Astyanax mexicanus: one gene and its partner. The protein of the gene in region 2 interacts with the protein of the main gene of each other region in a pairwise test. Links are inferred from orthologs where the notes say so. Each region holds a gene or a part of one and is shown on either strand. Other genes may lie near its edges. The genes, in order: nudt12 and blmh.

Evidence for each region.
Region 1: the proteins of blmh (region 2) and nudt12 interact in binary tests that used the Homo sapiens proteins (3 or more experiments, as listed by UniProt). The two-hybrid records come from large-scale screens. The link is inferred for Astyanax mexicanus from reciprocal best matches to the Homo sapiens genes BLMH and NUDT12.

What each region holds. Positions count from the first base shown.
Region 1 is NC_064419.1:36,552,148-36,563,650, forward strand, and holds the start of nudt12 (peroxisomal NADH pyrophosphatase NUDT12), read right to left. Parts: upstream 4,920-11,503; 5' UTR 4,668-4,919; intron 433-4,667; 5' UTR 425-432; coding exon 219-424; intron 1-218. Other genes in the region: GRAM domain-containing protein 2B, read left to right, coding at 7,768-7,877. UniProt on the Homo sapiens protein: mRNA decapping enzyme that specifically removes the nicotinamide adenine dinucleotide (NAD) cap from a subset of mRNAs by hydrolyzing the diphosphate linkage to produce nicotinamide mononucleotide (NMN) and 5' monophosphate mRNA.
Region 2 is NC_064425.1:19,209,024-19,220,291, forward strand, and holds the start of blmh (bleomycin hydrolase), read left to right. Parts: upstream 1-6,383; 5' UTR 6,384-6,518; coding exon 6,519-6,531; intron 6,532-9,099; coding exon 9,100-9,303; intron 9,304-9,771; coding exon 9,772-9,881; intron 9,882-10,151; coding exon 10,152-10,293; intron 10,294-11,002; coding exon 11,003-11,091; intron 11,092-11,268. UniProt on the Homo sapiens protein: The normal physiological role of BLM hydrolase is unknown, but it catalyzes the inactivation of the antitumor drug BLM (a glycopeptide) by hydrolyzing the carboxamide bond of its B-aminoalaninamide moiety thus protecting normal and malignant cells from BLM toxicity.

The DNA of each region.
Region 1 (11,503 bases), on a different chromosome or scaffold from region 2:
AATTACCAATTTAATCCAATATCTGAATATTCTTAACAATTTAATTGCTGTTTTAAAAGGTGAAATTACTTTATTATGCAATTATATCATCACAACAGCAGCAGCATAAAATGGTCTTAAAATGACAATAAAATAGTTTATCACAATTGTTCCTTTGATAATAGATCATCAAAAAAGTTACTGTGAAAAGTCTGCGTGTAGCTTTTTTTTAAACTCACCCCTCTGATAGTAAAGCTTTCACCACATCATAGTGTCCATTTCTTGCAGCTAACATTAAAGCTGTCCAGCCTTGTTTTCCACTTTCATTAAGCAGATGTCTGGAGTGAGAAATCAAAAAAGACACTTTGCCTAAATCACCACTGGATGCATGTTCCAGGAACTGCTGGACCATCTCATCCAGAGCACTCATCTGTACACTCGTCATGATCTGAGCTACAACAAAAGAAGAAAAAAAGAAAGACTAGTTAATAGTAATAGGTGTTATTCAGGATTAGAAAAATGTTTCTTAAGATCACATTTCTTTTAAGGACCCAAGTTTTTAACCTGACCAATAGACAAATACATTTTGACAATGAGGCATATACATCTAGTTCCAAACAAAACAAAATCTGATTATTAACAGAGTTAAGTAAAAACTCCCATGTTCTGCTACAATTGGATTATGTAGTGCGCATAAACCCACTCCAAGAACAATATGATACAATGACTAAATGCATGTTCTCCTTTAACCTGTTTAACTACACAGAAGGTCAATGTTATGATTTACACAACATTAGTGTAGTAATGTGGTTTGTCCCCTCCTCTCTCTTACAGATCTACTGCCAACTTTTCACACTTATTATTATTATGCACAGCACACAAAACATGCTGTTTTATAATTGCAACGCCATGTATTTAATGTTGCTTTTTCATGTGAGCTCCCAAAGATGCATCAACAAGGTCAAGATCATTAGGCTGTGTAATTTAATCTACAGAATATCTAGTGACACAAAGTCCCAGCTGCCATATCCAGACAGTGACTTGTATTTGGCACTGTGTTCATATGCATGCATCACATTTGTAGCTTTATTTGTAGCTTTATATGATACTTTTGGAATTACATAACTATAGCTGTGTTAGTCTAGATGTTATTGCTATAGCTGCTATTCTAAGAAGCTGTGTACAACATCACTGAGGGGGAGTAATTAGAGGATACAGATTGTTAGAGGGTACAGTTTTCATTTTTCCATTCCTTAAAGTGCAGTTGTTAACTTCACACAGGCCATCAACTGAAAAAAGAAAATGTTACTATTTTAAGATGAGTGTATCTTGATTTGTCAACACTTTTACCCCACTGTAGGCCTGTCACAGTAATTACATTATCAACTTACTGTACAGTACATAGAAATATCCACAATCACCTGACCTCTCGATATTGTTTGTTGTTTTTACTAAGCAACATTCTAATTTAGATTATTCTATTTCTGTAGAATATTAAACCCAAAAGAACCCTTCAAAACTGTGCAAAGTTCCACAGTTTTAACTCATGAAGTTCCTAAGTTACATATTCTGAGAATGCTGAGAGCATCACTACAGGATAATGTGTGAATGTAGGACTGCTGGGTTAGTGCTGCAGACAATGGTTCAATATAACTATTTCTTGATAGATGATTTGTAAGAGTATGATAATAAAATACCAGTTATAAAATTGTTGTTTGGTTACCTTACAATTTAAATCTTAAAATATTTACAGTCATGTGCCCCACAAAAACATGAAAGAGCTGTTCCTTGTATTTATCTGATTTAATTTTGAATTTGGTATAAATATTCAGAAATGGCTCTTATATGTTAAATAACATAAACTTCAATGAATGTATACTCAGTATAACATAAGGGTACTGCTTTAAAAAGGTTATGTTTAAATTAATGTATATTATTAAACTGTTCTATTCTTATTATATCAATGACATAAAATTGTTCTAAAATGTTTCTGTGTCACCAAATGTTTCCATGCCATGAGCTGTCTGACCTTTTTAATTTATATAATTTATTAATATTATTAGTGTCTTCGGTTCCTTGAAAGTAAAACAGTGAGAAGGTTGTGATGTGACTGTGAGGTAAAGCTCCTATACACAGCTTGATATTTTGATATGAAAATAGCTTATAAATATTAATGATTATTTAAAAAAAACATAATGAAAACATACTTAAAAATATATATATAAATTATATAACTACTTTAAACCAAAAATTAGTCAAATTAACCAGGCAGCACTGTGGAAAACAGTGAAAAAAAAGTATTCCAGGTGACTCTACCTCATGAAGACACTGAGATTAAAATACCAAGAGTGTGCAGATCTGTCATCAAAGAAAAATGTTGCTACTTAGAAGAATCTAAAGTATATAACATACTGATTTGTTTAACACTTTTTTTGTTGTGTTCCTATATAGCTTTAATATAGTGTTCAATATTAAATTCATTGTCCATGTGTCCAAATTTTGACTGGTACTGTGTATTGAAATAATGTCTTAAAATCTTAATGTCTTAGTAAATATAGGTAAACATATTGTTACACAGTGTTTGTATGAAATTTAAACAACTATGCTGTGTGGACACAAAAGGAATGTTATACTAAGATTGACTTACATTTATATGACTGCTGTAATTACACCATTAAAAAGTAACGAGGCTGAAGTTAGTGTCTTATTCGGATTTTCCGGTCCACCTTAAAAAGTACCAATTATTCGCCAGTAGAGAGCAGGGTTGAGCCGAGCAAAACGAGTTTGGCATTTAGGGCATATTACACTGAGAAAACATTGCCTGTTCTGGGTATTTCCAGTTGCCCGAACTCCAGATTATCAAATAGTCTGTTGAATTTGACACCACATTATGAAAATATAACTAGTATACTGTGAATAGCCTAAAGAACTTAACATTTAATGTACAGTTTTTTTTTTATTATGAGCCTCTGAACTTGGCATTTGAGAAGATTAAAGGAGAATAAATTGCCTGTTCTGCATATTTCTAGATGCCCTAAATCCACATATTCAAATAGTCTGTTAAATTTGACACAAATTATGAAAATTTACATATTAAACTGTGAAAATCTTTAATAACTACAAAGATTACTGTACAGTTTATTATTATGACCCTCTGAACTTGGCATTTCAGAATATGTCAGTAGAATAAATTGCCTGTTCTGCATATTTCCAGTTACCCTAAATCCAGATTCTCAAATAGTCTGTTGAATCAGACACCACATTATGAAAATATAACTAGTATACTGTGAATAGCCTAAATAACTAGAAATATTACTGTACAGTTTTTTTTATTATGACCCTCTGAACTTGGCATTTGAGAAGATTAAAGGAGAACAAATTGCCTGTTCTGCATATTTCCAGATGCCCTAAATCCAGATTCTCAAATAGTCTGTTAAATTTGACACAAAATTATGAAACTATACCTATTAAACTGTGAACAGCCTTTATAACGAAAAATAAAAAAAACTGTACAGTTTTCTTATAATGAGCCTCTGAACTTGGCATTTGAGAAGATGTCAGGAGAATAAATTGCCTGTTCTGCATATTTCCAGTTACCCTAATTCCAGATTGTCAAATAGTCTGTTAAATTTGACACAAAATCATGAAAACATACCTATTACACTGTGATGAGCCCAAAGAGCTAAAAATATTACTGTACAGTTTTTTTTATTATGACCCTGTGAACTTGGCATTTGAGAAGATTAAAGAAGAATAAATTGCCTGTTCTGCATATTTCCAGATGCCCTAAATCCAGATTCTCAAATAGTCTGTTGAATCAGACACCACATTATGAAAATATACCTATTCTCCTGACATCTTCTCAAATGCCAAGTTCAGAGGCTCATTATAAAAAAAACTGTACAGTATTTATTTTTTGTTATAAAGGCTGTTCACAGTTTAATAGGTATAGTTTCATAATTTTGTGTAAAATTCAACAGACTATTTGAGAATCTGGATTTAGGGCATCTGGAAATATGCAGAACAGGCAATTTATTCTCCTTTAATCTTCTCAAATGCCAAGTTCAGAGGGTCATAATAAAAAACTGTACAGTAATATTTCTAGTTATTTAGGCTATTCACAGTATACTAGTTATATTTTCATAATGTGGTGTCAAATTCAACAGATTATTTGATAATCTGGAGTTCGGGCAACTGGAAATAACCAGAACAGGCAATGTATTCTCAGTGTAATATGCCCTAAATGCCAAACTCGTTTTGCTCGGCTCAACCCTGCTCTCTACTGGCGAATAATTGGTACTTCGACTTTTTAAGGTGGACCGGAAAATCCGAATAAGACACTGGCGAATAAGACGCCAACTTCGGCCTCGTAAAAAGCATAAACCCTGCTATGATTTCTGATAAATAAAATACATACACGTGGTAATATAAGGGACCTTAATTGGAAGAACCTAAGGGTACCACTTTACTGTTACTTCATACCAATATTCTGCCCTTATTGTGCACTGGGGAGCTAACCTGACCTCTGGACTAGTAGGACAGACTTGATCACAGTTTAGACAGTCAGACAGAGAGACAGACAGATAACACTAGCTAACTAGCTGAGGTGAAGTGTATTTTAACCAGTACTATTTTAGTGTAATAAATACTCTGAATGAATTAGATACAGGTAAAATGCTTATTTAAACCTTCAAACCTGATTCCACGGGCTGGTAGTCTGATTTGAGGAGGACCCACCTGTGTCACACGTGACTAAGTAGGGCAGAAGTAGGGTAGAAGTGCAGAAAGGCTACAACGCGTTCAAATAAGACGGCCGCGTCCCAATAGTTTTTCTGCTAAAGAAGGCCATAAGCTGCAAACCAGGCAAAGCCAAGGCAGCAGGTAGTTCAGGAGACTCTATATGAGAAGCTGAACACAGCCCAGGTCTGGCGTCGTAAACATATGGCGTAACGAGGTCACGTGATCCTCCAGCAGGACGGGTGTGCATCCGGGTCTTTAGTAGAAGAGCGAACTCTAGTGGTGAGACCCAGATAGATAGATAGATAGATAGATAGATACTTTATTTATCCCGAAGGAAATTTAGGCATCCAGCAGCAACAACACAATACAATAAGAAACATACTCAGACAAATCAAAACACAGAAGAATAGAAAATATATAAGGCTATATAAAAAAAAAACTAACTATACAAGGTAAGGATCTATCTGTAAACGGAGCAGTGCAGTAGATGTTGCTAATGGTCATAAATAATTAAATAATTAACAGAGTAAAGTGCAATGACATCGATTACGAAAGTGACTGATGTGACATAGAAATATAATATAATATAAGTATGCATACGTTACAAGACAGTTCTAAAAAGAGAATGTGAAAATGTGAATACCCAATCATGAGTAAGGTATACTTAAATGTAAGCGAGGTTGGGGAAGTGTTAATATAAATAATTAAGTTGTTGAATAATGTCCAAGTGGTGTGCCTGGATTAAACTCAGTCGTCAGCAGCATCCCGTCCCCAATGGGAGGAGTTAAAGAGTCTGATGGCTCTCGGAAGGAAGGATTTTCTGAGTCTGTCTGTTGTGCAGCTCTGTGACAGCAGTCTGCCACTGAACACACTCCTCTGCTTCATGATGGTGGTGTGAAGTGGGTGACTATCATTGTTCATGATAGAAAGCAGTTTATCCAAAGTCCTTCTCTCAGCTATTATAACCAGAGAGTCCAGCTCCATTCCAACCACTGCCCCGGCCCTCCTGACCAGCTTGTCCAGCCGTGATGCATCTCTCCTCTTCATGTTGCCTCCCCAGCACACCACAGCGTAGAAGAGAATGCTGGCCACGATTGATTGGTAGAACATTTGCAGAAGCTCCTTACAGATGTTAAAGGACCGCAGCATCCTCAAGAAATAGAGCCGGCTCTGTCCCTTCCTGTACAGGGTGTCTGTATCTGTTGACCAATCCAGTTTGTTGTCCAGCTGCAGACCAAGGTACTTGTAGGTCTTTACTGTCTCCACATCAACCCCCTCGATGGAGACTGGCTGCAAGGGTAGTCCAGACCTACGGAAGTCCACCACCATCTCCTTGGTCTTGGATATGTTCAACTGCAGTTGGTTCAGTCGGCACCAAGCAACAAAGTCATCCACCTGTCTCTTGTACTCCTCCTCCTGACCACCCTTCACACACTACCAACGAAGGCAGTGTCATCCGAGAATTTCTGCAGGTGGCACATCTCAGAGTTGTAATGGAAGTCTGATGTTTAGAGAGTGAAGAGGAAGGGGGAGAGCACAGTCCCCTGTGGTGCTCCAGTGCTACTGACCACAGTCTCCGATGTGCCGTCAGTGAGCCTCACGTACTGTGGTCTGCAGGTGAGGTAGTCTGTGATCCAGGACACCAGGTGAGGATCCACATTCATCTTCACCAGCTTGTCTCTGAGAAGTGGAGGCTGGATGGTGTTAAAAGCACTGGAGAAATCAAAAAACATGATTCTCACAGCACTACTCCCCTTGTCAAGATGAGAGTAGGTTCGGTGGAGAAGGTAGATGACTGCATCCTCAACACCAATCTTCTCCCGATATGCAAACTGGAGAGGGTCCAGTGCATGCTGTACCTGGGGTCTGAGGAGTGGGAGATGCAGTCGTTCCATGGTCTTCATAATGTGCGAGGTCAAAGCTACCGGCCTGAAGTCATTGAGCTCACTGGGGCGAGGTTTCTTGGGAACAGGGACCAGGCATGACGTTTTCCACAGCGTAGGAACCCTCCCCAACTGCAGGACAAGCAGAATCTCATAATAATAAAATAATCTTTTTTTATACAGCTCTTAAAAAAATTGAGACCACTTTATTTTCCGAATCAGTTTCTCTGATTTTGCTTTTTATAGTATGTTTGAGTAAAATTAACAACAATTATCAATAATTAACAATAATTATATATATTTTTGGATTTTGCAGTAAACAATGTTATTTTCATTTAAATATCATTTTACGAGATGTACAATATGATTAATATAAAAGCACAACAATGCAATTACACATGACTTTAAAAGTAATGAGTTTTTAAGTATCACAATTATTTAGACATTGCAAATAAAACATTAAAAAGTTGTAATATCCTAAATAATAATAAAAAAAAAACAAAAAAGAAATCTTGCCTAATAAATGACATTGAATCAACATTCATATAAAGGTTTATATTGGGCTGAGCTCTTGTACACTCACAATGCTTTAAGAAAACTGTGCACAACCCCCAAATAATAATATTAATATTAGAAATCAGCAATTGGATTTTGTATCTAAAAAAATTATCTTTAAACACTGCATGCATACATAAAACCATGATGTTAAATTCTTTATAACTCAATTTTTCAGCATGAAAGTATTTTTAAAACAATGACAATGAAAAATAATGAATATTAAATAAATAAAATAAATACAATAAAAATAATGTATATTCCTTCTCCCTACAAAATGATCCATTTGGGTTTATGTTGGATGCCATAGCTAAATATTTGCATTTAAAAAGTGTAATCATATAAACCTACTGACTATTAAAGTACTGTGTATATTAGAGACACAAGATATTTTTTTTTCTAATCAGGGACATTAAATATAGCTATTTATTGCTTAATTTGAGACTCAACTCATTGAAGAACCTTTAGTCACAGTAGATTTTTTAGATTTTCAAATCACAAGGAGTCAGCTAATCACTTATTAACTGGCTCAGAGGGTCAGAGACCTCCTCATCAGCTGAAACCCAAAAACACAGATGGGTCTTTTATCAGGGAGTCATTTCAGTGTTTGATGGAGAAACCGTCCTCCTGTGATGAGTCTGTTCACAAAAACAGAAATGATGCAGCCCGACCAACGTGTTCTGTCCCACCTAGTCAACAAACTCTGCTTGAGTCCCAGTGGTGAGTCTAAATATACTTTTTTACATTCTTGATTTTTTTTCTGAATGTGGTGTAATGCAAGATTATACAGCTCCATAAGGTAAAACTTTAGTGCAGCATTACAGAATGAATGGTACCATGTGGATAAATATTATTTGGATGTTTTTCTGTAGAACATAAGCTATCTAATCTTGCACGTGCTGCAAAAAGAGAACAGGCTGAACAGTCTCCACTGTTCTGTTTACTTTATAAAGCACAGGGGGGGACTTTGTCTCGTGTCTGTCTGTTGCCAAACTCAAACAGACTCAAAAGGACAGTATTAATCTTTAAAAAAAAAACAATTCTGTTTGCACATTCTACCCTGTAACTAAATGACCAGCTTTATAGCTAAAGATTTTTATTGTCTTTCAGTGCTTTAGAATGCTAGAATATACAGCCTGTAATATTTTATTATGAGTAGTGTAAAACTACAAATATATGCAGTAATATCCCAGCAAACACAGTTACATTGTGACAATTGGGGAAATAGTTTTGGTGCCCACAGCATTGTCACAATTTTTAAATAGACTATGTTCTAAAATATTTGCATATGTCTAGTTGGATGATAATATGACAAGGATTATTGACAGTTGTCAAAAGGCGGCATTAGTAGACATTGTTGTGCAACATTGTGTATCTGCTGGGATGCAGCACACTATTAAATAAACACATAAAGTGGTCACAGTGTTGTCTATTTTTTTAAAACTTTGCTACAATGTTGTCCAAAGGTTGCATTGTTTACATCATCTTAACAATGTTGACCCAACATCATCACAAACTCAAAATTAAGCCTTTTGACCACTTCCTAAAAAGAGAAATCCAGAAGAAAAATAGAATGGCCAGGTGAAGCTGGTCAGGCTGGTTATGATATCCAGCATAGGGTGTGCTGGGTGCTAAATGTAAAAATCAAAAAATAGAATTTCATTATTTAATTTCTTTTAATTATGATTTATTTACCTGAAGTTTTTCTTTTCTGAACCTCATGATCTAAATTTCAGGAAAATGAAAAGAAAATATTTAGTCAATTATCTAATTTTCCATTATAGCATCTTTTTACAAATATGAGTTGTATTATACCATCAGATTTGAGGAGAAAATAAAAAAAAATAGCAAAGAAATGTATTATCTATTTTTTGTTAAGTCCAGATTGTAAAAATTCAGTCAGATAAATGTTACATTGACACTTGAGCCAGCATAACCATATTGCCAGAATCAAATGCAACAATACAGCTAGTTTATCAGTATAGGGTATGTTTTTGACTGGCTTAACAGCTTTTCGACCTCCCTGACCATCAAAGACCAGCTTAAACCATTAAAACAGTCTTGGGTTGGATTTTTCAACAGGGAATGAGGCTATATAAACAAATCCAAAGGTTGCACTGTTGTTTAACCAACAGTGCTGTAACAACGTTGCCATAACCTTATCCTCAGGTAACTTGGTCATAAGGTCAAAATACTACAACTTTTCAAAATTCCCATGATCCAAGATTCATTATCTGACAATAAAGCTCATCATATATTTTAAAATGCATGCAAAAAAATATTACGAATTGAAATCTAAAAAGTTTTACCTCAAAATTTTACAACATCAGGTTTGTTTGTGTTTAGTGCCTAACCTGGTAGACTCTGTATGTAAGCTTACACTGCAGTTCTTTACAGTTTCATAAGCCCTACAATTTAACCCCGTGGAACTCCATTAGTAATTAGTAATAAAAGCAAAATAATTAGCCTATGGTTTAAGGGGGTAGCATGTGGACAAGTGGAGTCCACTACATTCTCTCAGACTCCTGTTATTTCCCTCAGTCTCAAGATTTCCGACATATCTCAGTAGTAGGGGTGGATGATATGGCCCTTAAATAATATCACAACATTTCATGATATTTTTGCGATATCGATACTCTTGGCGATATGACAAAATTAAAATATATATTTCAAGAATACAATACTGCAACAAAATGAAAATTACATTTTATTATTGCATACATATGAATTACATTCATTTATTACATTCATATGATTTGTAACAGAATTCAATGATCCAGAATGTTAAGATACTAATAACGCACTTCAAATATCTTCATATATACAGGATTAAAGTAAAATAAATGATACTGGACAGATATAATCTATCCAGACATATAATGGCAAATGAGAACAGAGTGAATTTTTATGCTTTTATGCTTTTTGCTAAAATCAGCAAAAAAGTAGTACCCTGATGTGATAATTAGGGGTGGGTGATATGGCACAATATTTCAGGGTATACTACCGTTCACGATATAAAAAATGTTGGCGATATTATTGCGTATGATATGATATGGCACACAGTAAACGGTAAAAAAAACAAACCAAAAAAACAGTATTCAATAATTTGCAGATTGCAAAGTGAGTAATGCCCACACAGTAGCGCCAGTAAGTGGTATTAAAACCTTTTTGTTTGAGAACCACTGTTTTAGAACATTTGTTGGATTTTAAACGTTGGGACAACGTTGCTGCTATTTAAAACAACAACAGCTGGTTGTCAGAACGATGCCAGTGCTGACCGTGTGCGCTGGGGCGCGCGGTCGAGTTCAGTAGTAACTCGATACTCAGTGTAATAAATGCGTGACGTACCTGTGGCACATTCACCGCGAGCGCAGCTCTCAGGATGTTAAACACAGACTAACGGACTAACAGCCCGCAGTTAAAGAGCTAATGGATATTAAACCGGGGAATATTACCGCGCGCGGCGGCAAGTAGAAGTTTCAGCAGCTTCATGTAAGATATGTATCGCCTCTCAGCAGCAGCAGCAGGACAAGGACTTTTATCAGACTGAGTGCTCTGTTTCTGTAAAGGTAACTACTGTTACTGTAGCACTGCTGAATACACATGATCTCTGACAGTTCAGAGTCTAATATCTTTATCTGTCCATGTTTTAACTTTTATATTAATACTGCAGGCTCATTATCAGAATACTGTGCTTATTTGCCCTCAAGCCTTTCAAAAAAATGACTTAATATTTCCTATATGTATATGATTATCCCATACAGGGTTGCCAGGTCCAACAAAATATCCAGCCCAAACTCAGTCTAAAAGCCGCCCTTCAACTAGCTTAAACTACCCTTCCAAGCAAATGGCAAAACAACTGAGTGTACGACTTATTTTGTTTATAAGGGATTTATTATCAATATTGCTATTTACCTTAAGTCATTAATAATATTGTAACATTTTTATAACATTTTTATATCCCAGTCAAGAACATTTAATAGTAACATAATTATTAAATAACATAATTATTTTATTATTATTTAACATAATTATATTTTAACATATATTTAACATTTTTTTCATCACGTGGTGATTTCTGGTTACATTGTGATTTTTTTTGTTTTTAAAAGTAGCATCCCGACACCCCTGAATTTTCACCCGTGATTGGATTTTCAAACCAGCCCAATTTGGCGGAAAAAGGGCAAACCTGGCAACTCTAATCCCATCTTAATCACTTTATATTTTTTATTTACTGTCAAAACAAGCTGCATGACAGGGTGGGCAATGTTAGTGATGAAATGAAAACATAGTTCACTTACCCTACCTAACCCTAGTTTTAAAGAATCTAAAATATAAAACATATT
Region 2 (11,268 bases):
AAAAAATAAGCTTTTATAGAAACATATACAAAAGATTGGGTTCTTTTGTGGAATCTGCCTTGTCGCAGCTCTGTTTCCAAAGATTTTCCTCATTCAGTCATTTGATTTGAGTGAATTGTCTAGGTGAGGTTTAGTTTTGATTTTTTTTGTTTGTAGTCAAAAAAAAAAAAAAAACACCTCAGTTTTCACAGTAAACTTACTATAGATATTGACTGTGTAGAACACCCTGAAGGCAGGACCTGCAAAACCACTATACGTATAATCCTGTAAACAATGTTAACTCAATAAACCCTATTAACCTTTAAACCCAATAAAACAAAATTTTCATATTGGTTTGGGTAGTTATTAAATAATTCACAGTATTTATAGAATACATGTTATTTTGTAAATTTACAAGCAAATAATAGGCCTAGGGGTTTGAGGGGTCAGTGTTCTTTAATTCACCATGCAGTAAGTAGTCTGGTCAGTTATTGTAGCTGTGATGTCTGATGCCTTGGGCATTTTTCACAACTGCCCCCACCCTTTCTTAGAAAGGATTATGGAAATGGCTTCAGTGCAGCCTTTTCACAATAAAGCTATTTACTTGCCTCTCTCTGCAGCTAGGAAGACTACACTTCATGCATGTTGTACGATAACCTTTTTACTAATTAAAATGTATATGCCTTTTTTATTCTTTGTTTTAGTGTGAGCACCAAGTGTAAACACACCAGGGAACAACACGTCACTAAAGGTATTGTAAATTTTATTTTTTCCTTTGTATTTGTGGTAATTTAGCTTTTTCACTTTTTTTATTTTCCACCCCTTTCAATAAAAGTATATAAGATTCCGTATTATTCATTAAGAAAAATAAGAAAATAAGCTGTTGTTTCTCAAAAAGATGCTCTCAGCCAGTCACGGGGCTGTAACACACTGTAATACACTGAATGCATCTCCAATCCACTATTCCAGAGCTTGTTTCTCTGACCTAGCCCCGTTTCCCTGTAAAGCATGGTGCTCATCTGTTCATTTTGGACAGATGGCTGCGGGTAAAGCCTCCATTCCTGCAATATGCGTTTATGAGCTTTCACATAAACTGAGGCAGTCCCCCCTTCCATCATAGTCCTGAAAGGCTGAAGCTGGCGTGATATCTAGTCAGGGGTGACTTTCAATGCATAACCCCATCCCCCACACCTCACACATTGTTTGCGGAGGAGACCCCATCTGCCCCCTCCTCCAGGAGAGCACCACAACTATTGTTAAGCGCAGCCCACAAAGAGAACCGGAGGCACTGGCTGGATTAGGTAACATCTGGCACAAAAAAAATACCAGGTTTATTTATGAGCAACAACACGGCAGCATGCAGTTTAAGAGGGATTGGGGTATTTGATAATGTCCCCATCATAAACTGCCTTTGTTTTGAATAATTATCGGGTTGTTATCATAATACAAATAAAAGCCCGAAAACCACTGCGAGAATAATGGGAGCCTCCCCAGGAATCCTCATTTCTACCTCAACCACAACTGTTACTAGAAGACAGCCTAGGCGTCAAGTATTCATTTATTGCGCTACTTATTCAGTGCATTAACTGTAACTGTCAGTAATTGTAATGAAATTGTAATGCAGTGCCTGGAGACAGATATATACACACATATATAAATCACATAGTACATGGTATTTAATTGTGTGTGGCTTTTTTCAGTATTAAAGTAGAGTAAGAGTGGAGTTGTGTTTAAATTTTAATGTAGACCAGTGCATCTTAGGGCTCTCCTCTCCTCTCCTCTCCAAGCACAGGCAAATTGGAGTCTCCATCTTGAGGCTGAACAATGCCAGTAAAAAGAGAATCACAGCTGAGATCTGCTGCCTGTTCTCCTTTAGAGGGCACTCATCAGACTTTAAGTGCAGGACAAGCCCAGAATTAGAGGAAAGATAGGGGGAATCATTTCCTGTATCTGCTTAAGGTTTCAGCATGAGTGCAGCATCTCCACCTTATTAGCTATAGCAGTGTTTCTCAATCCTCTCCTGCCTCTACTACTCCTAAGATTATAGATTTTTTCTTAATTCCAGCACATCTGATCCATTTAATTAAAAACAGCAGGTGTGTTATTGCCTAAAAAAAAGAAAACACTCAAAAAACAATCAGGCCAATGGTATCCAGGATTGAAAACCACTGTCCTTCATTAGGGCCTAAAATACAAACAATGTGACCAAAGATTTTGGCAGCCACAATGACCTTGGTCAGAAAAAAGTGGATAAGATAAATAATTCATTAATAAAGAGTACTCAAACTATCATGTTCCTTAATTGGATTTTTTTTAAATGTATATATTTGACTGTTTGCCAAGACTATTTAAATGTAAACAAATTTTGTTGAGTTTGGGATTTTACCTGAGATTGTGAGTTTAATTTGCACATTCTTCATTTCCCTTTTTTTTAGCTAAAATATTACACATTCAGAAGACATTCAGTGACATATATTTACACAAAACCTCATTAATACAAAAATCTTTTATAACTATATATGTATCAGACAATTACTGTCATTATTCTTCATACAAATATTCCTTGACATTTTACTATCGCTTAGTGTGAGAAGAGAGTAATTCTTATTCATCTGATGTTACATACAAATTTCTGAATAGTGTTTTTCAACACAGTTAGCTAAGCCAACACCAGACTTGAATTGTCTGTCTGGAAAAATGAAAGCAAACTGAACATTTTTATGTTATAACGTAACTCAAATAATTAATTGTTGGCGGACAGTGACCTAGGTCACTTAGTCCCCATTATGGTAGAACCAGTGTGTTGAAAATCTTAGCTAGTCAATCTAGTCAAATTATCCTACCAAAGCACATATCTAAATATATATATTTTGTATTTTATTTTTCATTTTGTAAATGAAAAACTGTTCTGCCATGTTTAATTGTCCCACCACAGGCAACAATTACTGACAGTGGCAAGCAGCTGTAGGAAAAAATACTGCACATTTTTTGCTACTTTTGCTACTTAATCTAATTAAATTGACACAAATCCATTAACATAAGATTTTTTGGGAGGCTACATCATCTCTAATTTTTAATGTAGCTATAATGTTTAACTGGCATTTTGTAAAGTATACATATAGAACATTGTGTACTAAACAGTTCTTAGCCAAAACACAATACATCATTGGCTATGGTTAAATACATGTGTAAACAGTCCCTAGAATGAGACTGAAATGCACTGCTTTAACACTACTTCTAGACATTCTTTAACAGGCACCAAACCTTTGAAACCCTAAAGTCTGTGAAAAAAGGTTATATTACAATTGTGAGGGGGACCACTGCTCATCACATGACAATGCAACTTATATGAACTGGTTATGTACAATAATCCAGTTTCAAAATAAAAGAAAAATGCTAACATGCTATTAACCTTTTATTAGAATCAGGTAAGTTAAAGTAGGTCATTGTCTCTGTGCTGGAAAGGACTTACATTAACTTTCACTTCCAGCCGAGGGCAGTATAGGCGCAGTTTTAAATTTTATTCTGAGGTAGAAAGAGTGCTTGAAATGAGGTAAACAAATGTACTACTACTCTACTGATAATTTACTTGAGTACAAAATAAAAAAAATCTAGTCAAACAAATTAACTATTTTTTTGCGAGCAGTGGGGCCCTGTGTGGTCAACCTAGCCTCTTCAATCCTTATGTCCAATTCCTCCCTCTGCTGCAGGAGGCTCTCAAAATCGTCTTCTGTGATGACCTGGGCCTCAACATGGACTTTCTTGGTGTTTCTCTTTTTGTAATCGACCCGGGTCAAGATCTCTGCAAGGTCAGGCGGAATCAGTCCTGCTGTCACCAAGGGATGATCCAGATGAGCAGAGGTTTCTGAAGTGGGCGGTTGGGAGGATGCAGAGGGTGTCACTGGAGAGGAGAGTGATGGTGACTCCACGGTCTTCAAAATAAAAGTTTACACCCACATAAAACACTGCTGAAAAGTATCTTTTTAGTTTCAGCTTATTGTAATTGTAATAAAAGACTTTTGAATGTGAGATTTATAAATGTAAAATAATATAAAATATAAAGCTAATTCATACAGAGACAATAAAAAAGTGTGAGAAGAGTAGTGATGGCTGTTATTATATTTACACGTTTTATAGCTATTATTTTATTTACATTTTATTTTATTAAAATCTACGAAGCTAAAGCTGGATGCTAATGGTCATTTAACATTATTTTTAAAAATGTACTTATGTCAAATGTAATTAGATACTTTCCAATTTATCATTTTTTTAAATCAATAATTATTAACCAGAAAGAACTCATAATGATGTATGTGTGTGAATGTGTGATCATCTGACCTTATTTTTAAAGGTGTGCTGGGTTAGTGCTGGAGGTTCATTTTCAATGTGTATCTCTGTTCTATTCTTTTTCATCCATTTTAACAATTCAAATCCTTTAATGAAATGTTTTACATTCTATAGAATTAGTTCTGATAATTTCTAGAACAAAATCTTAAAATTAGTTATGAAATTGGCATTAATATTCGGAAATGGGTCTGGGCTCCTATGGGTTACTAAGTATTGTAATAAATGAATCAACCACTATCAGTTATGACTGGCACAAGAAACTGAAACTTGTTTTAAGACATCTCCCAAATGATTGGGTTATTGATAATTGAGTGCAAGATAATGCATTAGATTACAGTATTCTTGAAGCCAGGGCGGTCATTTTCATTGAACATGTATTTTGTGAAAAACTGTGTGAAGAGAATTAAGGAGAATGGCTTTCCGATCAGTTAAAATCAGAAGAGCTCACTTAATCTTTCAAACTATTGATTCCATTCCTTATTATGTCATAATTGTATCGGCAGGATAATATTTCTTAAATAATTAAGTAATTGAATAATATCACAGTTATAAATCTAGCCATTTATAGAGGTACAATTTGTCTACAAAGCCATTGGCCAAGCTGTAGTATCTAGTGTGTGCCAGGAGGTGGTGGAATTGTGCTTTTGTAGTATTGAGAGACCTAAATAACAAGATGGAATAAAAATATAGAGCTAGAGTGCAATGTTCAGTATGGAGAGCTTTTATGCTCATAAAACTGGTTGAAGTGATAAAATCTTTTCCTAGGAATTTGCAGGTAAACAATTGGATGACCGCTTCACCCTAATGTAGTTGACCAAAATATACAGGCCCTACTTAAAGAGGATATTGGGATCATGTTGTGAAGCATTCTTTTTACTTGCCTTGTGGGGATACTGTTTAATGACATGGTAATACTGACCGCAGTATAAACACAGTTTAACAATTTCCCACTCCTCCAGCTTACAATAGTGATTCTTCAGCAGTTTGCCTTGTTCAGACATGGCTGGGGTAATGAAGCAGTGCAGTCTTCTGTCACAAATTGAAGGAGGCAAGTGGATGTAATTGCAGACTTTCATAGAGGGAAAGGCCAAATTCCGGGTAGAGGTCATAAAACCAGATCAAAACAACAGAGCAGACTTCCAGATTGCATAGGCAGAAATAAAGAACTGAAATCTGACTCATGCAAAAAAAAACATGTTGAAAGACTAATTCTTACATACTAACAAATAAATGATGTCAGAAATGTTTAATTTGACTGTGTGGAAATTAATTAACCTTAGTTTAGCAGGTAATGTCAGAGTCTAAATTGAAAAAGCTACAGAAAAGAAATATGTTGTTTAATCTGTTTTTGCATAATCCAGATCTCTATAGTCATTACATTCAGTTTGTCTGTCATTTAGTAATGTGCATTTGGGAAGCTGTAGCAGAGCCAACATTACATTCATGATTTTATTTGTGATTGTTCACAGACAATTATTGTGATTCATAATAATGTTTAAAATAATTGACCTAGTAGTAGTAGTAGTAGTAGTAGTTCCTTTATTATGTCAGAACTGTAAGCCTGTGTTAACCCTTTTAGACCCTGCATCCATTGCAATGGCCAACACCTGTTTTCTTTTTTTTTTGTGTATTCTTGCATTAACCCAGCTTGCCTGTTGTCCAAAAGAATAGACAATTATCAGCCAATCAAGCAGCAGCTTAGCCCCGCCTACTGCATTGGACAAATGGAGTTATTTTTACTGCTTAAGAATGATTTGTGAAATAAAAAAGTTAAAATTAAATTATATAGAATAAAAATATCAATGTTAAACAAATTATTACAACTGCAATTAACACAGAAATACAAATAATGTATGTATTTTGGAGTGAATTAACGTTACAGACAGAACAACATTTTTTGTTTTGTTTTTTCAGCACTGGAATATAATTCAGGTCTAAAAAGATTAAACACTCAGGATATTTAAAAAATAAATGTATATGTTTTTAAAAATAAAACACTGTTTTAACACTGTGTTTTAAAGTTAAACACCGGGTGGGAGTTTCTCGCGACATGGCAACAGTGCGATTTCCGGAATTCCGAGCGCGCGGCGCTACGCTGACTGGCTGCGAATGAAATAAACAGAAGACAAAAGAAGAAGCGAGACTGCGGGACTGATTCAGAGACTGACACCGCCGAGCTCCAGCGCACAAACATGGAAACACCCGGTACGTTTGCTCTTTAAAGTGTTTTATAATAGTGTCTGCTGTGGAGCCTGTAGCCCAGTCTGTCTCTTTTCTCTGTACAGTCTGTAACAGGGCTGTTAGTTAGCCTAGCTTAGCAGAGCGGAGCTAGCCGGGCTGGAGCTGGAGCTTCACGTCAAACTGGAAGTGATAGCGTTAGCTAGCTTAGCTAGGTTAGCTATGGCAGCCTGAAGCTTGGCTTTAGTTAGTTTAACTAACTTGCCAAGCTGCCTGTTAGCTAATGCTCTCAGCTCACAGACAGCCAAGCTGTTTCCTCTTAGTGTTTGGCTGAAGGCTCCCATCTTCCAGTTCTTCTAATGTAACAGTAGCAGCCTCTGTAGCTCACAGCCCGTAGTTAGGTAGAAATCCAGAAAGTAAAAATCCAGCCCAGGATTTTGTTCCAACCGCATGAACGGTTGTGCTGCAGTCAAGGCGCCCATTAGTTTCAAACGAAATCCTGAAGTGGATTTTTTTCTTTTATGTATCCGGATTATACATATCTAGTAGTTAGCTAGCTATACCCATCAGGAGCTGAGCTGAAGTTCCTCCTGTACTATGTAGCTGGTGCTGTTCTGATTGTGTCTGTTGAATTGGGCCCTAACTCAGGACTTATGTAACCTAAAGCTCAACACCAAGGCAGGCAGTTGTTCGACACCATGGGCTCACAAACCTTCCTGCTGGGCTGCTGTTATTATGTAAATTTGCAAGTCACCCTATAGACTAGCCTTTGCCCCCTTTTTCATAGAAAGTCAATAGCGACAGCTAGTTAACAGTTACACCTGTTCTTGTCCCCTCTGTTCATGAATATAAAGAAGTAAGCTTGTTTTTGTCTTTTAGATCTCAGTCTAAAAAGCCTGTCTAACATGGCATGTGTTTACTCACCCTTTTATGTTGACCACGATTTTCCTCTTTCCTCTATGCTATTGTAATTTGTGAAGTGATGTTTTCACTTTTATTATTTTGTCATTTCCTGTTCATAAGCCTCACAAACAATTATAAGACCTGTCTTATAGCTAACTATTGATAGTTAGACAAAAAAACCAAAAAGGATCAATGAGGTGGCAGGTAGAAATGAATGAAAAATACGCTGAGATTTGAAAGATTTATCAGCCATTTGATCTTATAGATACATTTTTGAATAACTACATAGTTATTACTTATGATTTTTTTCCCTTATTGGGTCAATAAGTATTTTTGCTATGCCCTCCAATTGAAAGTTACATTTTAACATGGGATTTAAATACCCATGTGTCTTTTTAAATGTGAAAAGTACTGATATTTAGTGAGTAAATACAGTACCAGTCAAAAGTATGAACACACATTGTCATTCAATGTTTTTCTTTATTGCTACCTTTAATTTATTGTATATATTGTCAATAAATATTAAAGACATTAAAACAATTAAGGGACACATGGAATTACCGGGTATGTAGTAAACAAAAACTTGTTTTCCTCCACAATCGCCTGACCTAAACCCAATTGAGATGGTGATGTTGGATGTGCTGGAGCATCACAGCATGAAGAAAAGCAGCAACTATCTAAGATAATAATCTGGTTTGTTTTACACTTTTTGTTTACAAAATTATTCTGGATGTCTTCCTGTAAAATGACCTCAATATTAAACTTACAGTGCAAAAAAAAAAAAAAAGAAAGAAAACATTACCCAGGGAGCCAATTACCCCATTCAGTCCACAGTTCTTTGTAAAGTGTGATGCTGTAGCAAATAAACCAGTACTTAATCAAATTATATCAACTAATCAGATTGTAGAACTATCATGATAACCATTTTTTAAATAATTAACTGCTCCAGGACTATTTGTATTAAACAGTATTTTTGTATTTGAAATATATATTGAAATATTCTGACATTTAGAATTAGAATTAAAAAATTAAATATCCTAAATAATTCAAACAGAAAACAAGTAGATAATTTAATTATTGTAATGTGCCCAGTAGAGGTCATGGTCATGCTCACCATTTTCATCAGTAAGTATTTTTCATTTTTCAACAGTGCTCTGGTAGGAGAGCAAAAAACATTTAGGATATTTTACCCACTGAGTTGAAATTGCAGTCCAGTATTGCTGTCTACAGCAGAAGTTTAATTATGGCTAAAGAAACAGCATTGCTTTGCAATTTATTTATTTATATATATTTTTGGACATATGGGCAGATGGTGTAAATTAGTCTTTTACTATGGACACTATATACATCTGGTATTGAACATAATTGTAGGTAGCAGTTCCAAAGTTTATATATTTTTTCGTGTTATAATCAGGCACATTTTAATGTGTGCTGTCAGCGTTGGTATGTGACTGCTTATTCAATACACAATATCTGAGATGTTGTGTTCTTGCAGGTTGCAGATCTAATTTTACATTAAATTCTTTTCAGAAATTAAATATCTGATACGGTCATTGAACATATACGCATTTAATTAGTTTCCACCTATTATTGTTTTGTTGCAATTTTATTCCTCATTGATCCAGGAAGTTGGTTGCAAATAAAAAAAGTCTGTCCTGAAATGAAACTGAATAGTTTCCTCTTTCTGTTAAGCCCCAGGTCTGAATCAGGAGAAGCTGTCTTCTTTTGTGAAGCGGCTGCGGTCCGAGCCTCGGTACATGCTTGCGCAGAATGTGTCCACCTGCATCGACCCCCTAGAAGTGTGCCTCCACAGGCAGACAGTCCAGGACACAGTGCATATCTTCCAGCACTCCATCCCCACGGAGGGTAAACCTGTCACCAACCAGAAGAACTCAGGTAATTGCACTCAAACTGAAACCACCAAACAAACACAGTCTTAAAACCTGTGAGAACAGTTCTGAAAGATATATAAGATATGAGGTATCTGAATGTGGTATCAGGTGTTGCATCACATTCCATAACAAAACAATACACTGAGGAAAAAATAGAATTCTAGTGTAGTGAATGCCTTTCATTTTACATTACAATTTTGTAATGGCTCTGTTTTCAAAGTAAAGTTAACAGCAAGACATGGACCTACATTGTATTTTACTATATTTATCACACTGTGCTATAAATAGTATTATAGTGGCACTATACAGATTTACTGAAAAACAGTTCATCTGTATGTTGTAGATATTAACAGGAATTTCTATGCAATAAGGCATGTGTAGTATGATACCCTTGAAAGGTAGAGTTGCATAAAATATTTAGTTTAATTAGGTTTAACTGTACCTAATGATAATGTTTCTTTTTCTCTGTCAGGGAGGTGTTGGATCTTCTCGTGCCTCAATGTCATGCGACTTCCTTTTATGAAGAAGTTTAACATTGAAGAGTTTGAGTTCAGTCAGTCCTATCTCTTTTTCTGGGATAAGGTAAGGCTGTGGTTGCGTACTAAACACGTCATAATTAAGAATTAATTTTTGCTTTTTTTATTTACCTCTGCGTATTCACATAAACATATAGGTTAAACTGGACAGAGAATGAGTACTCTGTTCATTGATTGTTCTCTGTCATTGTGCATCTCAGACTGTGTGTGTAAATCCTCTTTTGTGTCAGATGTATTGCTGAATGTTTGTCTCTCAATTGTATGGCAGTGTTTTCTCTTAGTTCCTTTGTTCTCACTCTCTCTTTCTATTTTTTAGGTGGAACGCTGCTATTACTTCTTACATGCCTGTGTGGAGACGGCCCAGAGGAAAGAGCCCGTTGATGGCCGGTTGGGCCAGTTTCTGCTCTCAAATCCCACCAATGATGGTGGACAGTGGGATATGCTGGTTAACCTCATTGGTCAGTCTACGCTGTATATGTCAAAGCTGGTTCTGTGATGTATTTAATTGTAGGTATGGGATAATTGGTAGAGCTATGTTCTGAAACAAAAATGTCCAAAAACCCTTTAACAACAGTATCAGTCATATTTGCTTATTTGGGTTTTGTTTCATTTTTGAGGACAATTTTAAAAGCATAATTGTAAACAATTGCGAGGTTTAAAAGCATAATTATCTGATCTGATAATGTATTTTTTTTAGGACTCTTCTCAAAAAGTAAAAAAACAAAACAATTAAAAACAATGTAGAATGTTATTGGTGTATGAGTGCCTATGTTACCTTGGGTAAAACAGTAGCCTATTTAAAACAGACCTTGTACTTCCTTTGGAGTTTTTTATACGGAAGTCTAAACTTCCCTGTCTGAAACCACTTGCTCATATGACCTCTAGTTCATTCATAGGTCCTTTTCTAACTACTTTTGTTTGCTGCATGTTAAACAGAATTACATTGTCTGTCTCTACCTATTAAAGGAAGAATTTAAGGGGATTAAAATTCTACCTTCTCCCTAGTTAGTTAAAAGCATAGGAATTTATACATAGCATAGGAGCACTCCTGTCAGTAATGAAAGTTAGAGAGTGTACTCTTAAATATTTTAAAAGTATAATTTAAATGATGGAAAATGTGGAATAGTACACACTTTCTTAACTGCAGTTGCATAAATTGTTTTCCAGAAAAATATGGCGTCATTCCAAAGAAGTGCTTTCCTGAATCTCACAGCTCTGAGGCCTCGCGTCGAATGAACGATATCCTCAATCACAAGGTGTGCTTTTACAGTTTCTCCTGATGCTGCTGCTCAGTTTAGCCTCCTTTATGCCGTACTGAACTTTTATGGCGACATTTACGAAATGAGGATTAACCGATCAGCCATAGAGCCTACAGGAGAGTAATCTTTCAGGTAAAGATTCTGTGCAGTCATTTGCCAAAGCTTGATGTCAGT